Saccharomyces cerevisiae S288C: one gene and its partner. The gene in region 1 interacts genetically with each later gene. Each region holds a gene or a part of one and is shown in the gene's direction. Other genes may lie near its edges.

Region 1 (2,511 bases):
CCAAAAAAGTTAAAAGTATAAGTCTTCTGCATCAAACTAACAGAAAAAAAATTTTTTTTACACTTGAAATGGTTATTGTCTGCTTATTGTGAAGTACGAACATCCTAACAAACGTTGTATGTTGCTTTCTGCGTTTTTCCTTACAGTGCTAGCGTAGAGAATATGAAAAAGAGGGAAATTAAGCAACTGCTTTTTCTATGATTTACCACTGTGAGCCCAAAACTTAACGTGCACCAACACGTGTGCGGCAACCTGGCTGGCCTCTCAATGTAGAAGTAACTGGTTTTCTTCTTGCCCTTTATTTTCTTGTTTTTTAGAACCAATCTCGAGCACTTGGATAATGCAAAACAAATACAATCTATGTCTTCCACACCATCATTTTACTATGCCTGCCACCATACATTTGTCTTTTGCACCATATCTTCATAACCTGTCACCTTGAAACTAAAAAAATATTCACAATGGTGCATGCTTGAAGCACAAACTAGATTAATTTGTTGAGTAAATCATGTGGTTCCAAGGAACAAAAAAAAAAATGCATTACATCACGTTCCTTGCTCTGTATCTCTTCACCTGCAATTACTCAAAAGAAAAAAAGAAATATAATTTTCCTTTGAGCACCCTTGGTAACTTATCTAAGAACACGCGATGTAATCGAAATTTAATAACCTAAAAAAGAAATAGAGATCGGTGACGTTTGACGCTAGCCAATCTCCACGAGATTTATCTGGAAGGGCATCACCCGTCAAAACACTAAGAAATTTGACACCTTATTTTTTTTTCTCCGAAACGTTCTGAGACGTTTCTTTTTTTTTCAGGACGCCACCCTAAATCCGAAAAACCTTACTTGGCATTAGTGTTGTAAAAATTTCTTTTTTCCATCGTGGTTCTGAAAAGCTTGCAGAAAAAAAGTTCGAGAACGTTTTCGTATGACTTATTAAGCTGCCCTTGAACTTGCCTTCCCTCTTCTTTACTATTTTCAGCCAGGGACAGAAATAAAGCAAAATCGTTTAACTTTTATGACCGTAACAGGTAACAATATCTGCTCAATTCGGTTAGTAAAAAAAAAAAGGTTATCGTAGGTTTACTATTTTCACATCGGTGCATAGAATCTATACTCTACTTCCTTTGGAGGGAATTTAGTAGTGCTCGATTAGCAGATAACAGCGCAGGGTTCTATGTAGTACGAAGCACTATCAGGTTTTTTAACGTACGTGAGTTGTTTTTTGTTTCTAATTTTTGGCTTGCCTGGGATAAACGGTGCCCATCAAATTATTAAGACCTGGTGAAAAGAGCGTACCTACATGGGTATCGGGGTTTTTGCCAGAAAGAGCTTTAACTGCAATTGATGCCTACCGGAGATTATTTTGATATCAAAATGCAGGAACGATATCTACTTCCCTAAAGCAGAAAACAAAACATTTTTTTAAAAGTCTTTCTTATATAAAGGTAACCTTCATTTCATGATAGCCAGATGATAATCTTAATGTAACAATTGGAGGATACCAGCATCCCTCCACACCTTCAAATGTCTATACCCCATTCCGTATTTTCGGCACTCTTGGTCTTCGTGGCGCTAGCTACTACAACCTTAGCCAGTACAGAAGCTTGCTTACCAACAAACAAAAGGGAAGATGGTATGAATATTAATTTTTATGAGTACACAATAGGCGACCAAACCACATACTTGGAGCCTGAATATATGGGCTATGAATACTCCAATACAAAGAAGTTAGGTTCCGTTAGCGGACAGACCAATCTCTCCATATACTATAGTCCGCCTTGTGAGAGCACTCCTACCTGTGTGACTTATGCAGTTTTGAAGCGTGATGAGGATGGATATGATCCTTGCGGACCTCTTTATGAAACTAAAAAACGTGACACTGAATACTGTGACCCAAATACTGCCTATTGGAGTTCTGATCTTTTTGGTTTCTATACTACTCCAACTAATGTAACTGTGGAAATGACAGGGTACTTAATATGGAGTATGGGCAACCGACGCCGTTGAACCTCTCCTTGGAGATTCTGATAATTTTATGACCATGACTTCTCGTGCACCTTACAGGAAACTTTAATGGCCTGATAAGTACAGCTATATTGTGATCACAATTATTAAAAACTAACTCATTTCATCTATAACCAAGTACAAATCGCACGACTATCATGACGATAAAAGCGTATATCCTTGATTTAATTCACATCACAATCACCCCCCTTGAAAAAAAAATAAATTTTTTTTCTTGCTATAATAGCATAATTGTCCACAAGTTCACTATTAGTGCTATCATTCTTCCCCACTGCCGCAAAATTGCAAAGGAAATAATTGTTTGCCCTGCAGGAACCATATACTAAAGAAGAAATAGATGCTATTAGCCTCTTCAACTGTCCGTAATCACTACATCTTGAAAGGTAAAATGCAAGTAGCAATGTGTTTACTTAAGGAAGCGCATCTACATCTTCTTTAGAACCATCTGTCGATTCAAGCGGATTAGAAAGAGGAAGCGTGAT
Region 2 (2,321 bases), on another chromosome or scaffold:
AAACAACAACTTGATCAATATCTTGCAAAACATTGAGCAGATGGACACTTGTTACGTGTGCATCAGACTATTGCAAGAACTGGCCGTGATACCAGAGTATCGTGACGTGATATGGTTGCATGAGAAGAAGTTCATGCCCACCTTATTCAAGATCCTGCAACGTGCCACGGACTCTCAATTGGCCACGCGGATAGTTGCAACAAACTCCAACCACCTGGGTATTCAATTGCAGTACCACTCTTTACTATTGATATGGTTGCTGACCTTTAACCCAGTTTTTGCAAACGAGCTAGTCCAGAAATACTTGAGTGATTTCTTGGACCTCTTGAAATTGGTTAAGATAACCATAAAGGAGAAAGTGTCCAGATTGTGCATATCCATCATCCTGCAATGTTGCTCCACGCGCGTCAAGCAGCACAAGAAGGTGATTAAGCAACTTTTGTTGCTCGGCAACGCGTTGCCCACCGTACAGAGCTTGAGCGAAAGAAAGTATTCCGACGAAGAATTGCGTCAAGACATCAGCAACCTCAAGGAAATCCTAGAAAACGAGTACCAAGAATTGACCTCCTTCGATGAATACGTCGCCGAATTGGACTCCAAGTTGCTGTGCTGGTCTCCACCACATGTCGACAACGGTTTCTGGTCCGATAACATTGACGAGTTCAAGAAGGACAACTACAAGATCTTTAGACAATTGATCGAACTCTTGCAAGCAAAGGTCCGTAACGGCGACGTCAACGCGAAACAAGAAAAGATCATTATCCAAGTCGCCTTGAACGACATCACTCACGTGGTCGAGCTTCTACCAGAGAGCATCGACGTTCTCGACAAGACTGGCGGCAAAGCCGACATCATGGAGTTGCTGAACCATTCAGATTCTAGGGTGAAATACGAGGCCCTCAAGGCCACGCAGGCAATCATTGGATATACCTTCAAATAAAGATATAGAAGACCGTAAAGTAGTAGTGGGTTTGAAGCCTAAATAAGTAGTTTTGTACGTACTATTATTTTAAGAGAAGAACATCCATAGAAAAGAAAAGAAGAAAAAGAAACGAACCAGAAGAGGGTAGCAGAATCAGTCATTCACGCACCCGGCCTGCGCTGCGTGCACCGACTGCGTGCGTGCGTGATTGGTAATGCAGTGAATCATGCTTTTTCATGACGCCTCCTCCCCGCCCCTGAGCCTTCGGTGGCCGCCGAAGTCGGGTATTAATGGGCGCCCCTTTCCTGGTGTCCGGGAACCGCCTGCCGAAAACCACCCTCCGCAGGTCCGCGGAAGGTGGGTGTGGCTGTCCCCGCGCAAATCCGAGATCGATTCCGCGGCGGGTCGGTCATTCTTTTCATTTGCGCGCTAATATGCGCTGTGACTGGCGGTTAGTCATCTGCGTGATCAATCGTTGTCATGACGCTCTATAACGTAAGAGAACTTTAGAGGGGGCTCAATTAGCATGAAGAACAGACACATATATAAGGTCTCTAGATTTCTCCAATAGCTCAACTCTCACAATTGTTTCCTCTAGTCCTTGTAAAATATAAAAAATCATCATCAAACAAGCAACTACAAAACAGCTTTACTGACAACTCACACAAATAACACAAAAAACAAAAATTTCAACAATGGTCGCCTTTTTAGAACTAACTTCTGACGTTTCTCAACCTTTTGTCATCCCATCTCTTTCGCCAGTCTCTCAGCCAAGCTCAAGAAAGAACTCTGACGCAAACGTCGATGACCTGAATCTGGCTATTGCCAATGCCGCTCTTTTGGATGCCTCTGCTTCAAGCCGCTCACACTCCAGAAAAAACTCTTTGTCTCTGTTGTAAGTGTTGTACACGAGAATTAGCACACTATTAGCATAAAAGACACTTGGCATCTTTACTTACTTGGGCAAGTAAGTCACGTACTTTTTTTTTTTTTTCCGGAGCATTCATTGTCATTCTATCTGCACTTTCCCGCACTTACATTCAATAACCTCGGATCGGGTCTCTTCTACGACAGAAACTTTTTGATATATACATATTTATGTAATATAAATACTGAGAAAGTAAAAAAATTTAAAATATAAAATAATAAAAAATTTACTATTACTATAATTGATTAATGTAATCTTTCTTTGTTCAACCGTGCTGTTTAGCCTCCTTCTCGAGAGACACGCGTTTACCGTCGCTGTCACTACATCCACAATCGTAGTCCTCCAGGATGGTAGCACAGTCATATATGTCTTTCTTTAGGTATTCGTTCACCTTGTTGTGAATGTGGCATCCCCACATTGCGGCAGCCGTCCTGCTAGATGTCTGTACGGGATACTTCTCAATCAACTTTA

The links. Genes that interact genetically often act in the same process or in processes that back each other up.
Region 2: mutations in YFL051C (region 1) and SPO24 together harm fitness less than expected from each alone (positive genetic interaction), as found in Saccharomyces cerevisiae (one large-scale study listed by BioGRID).

What each region holds. Positions count from the first base shown.
Region 1 is NC_001138.5:29,558-32,068, reverse strand, and holds YFL051C (uncharacterized protein), read left to right. Parts: upstream 1-1,528; coding exon 1,529-2,011; downstream 2,012-2,511. Other genes in the region: ZNF1 (DNA-binding domain containing protein), read right to left, coding at 2,440-2,511.
Region 2 is NC_001148.4:644,333-646,653, forward strand, and holds SPO24 (Spo24p), read left to right. Parts: upstream 1-1,617; coding exon 1,618-1,821; downstream 1,822-2,321. Other genes in the region: VMA13 (H(+)-transporting V1 sector ATPase subunit H), read left to right, coding at 1-940; ERV2 (flavin-linked sulfhydryl oxidase), read right to left, coding at 2,116-2,321. UniProt on the Saccharomyces cerevisiae protein: Required for efficient sporulation.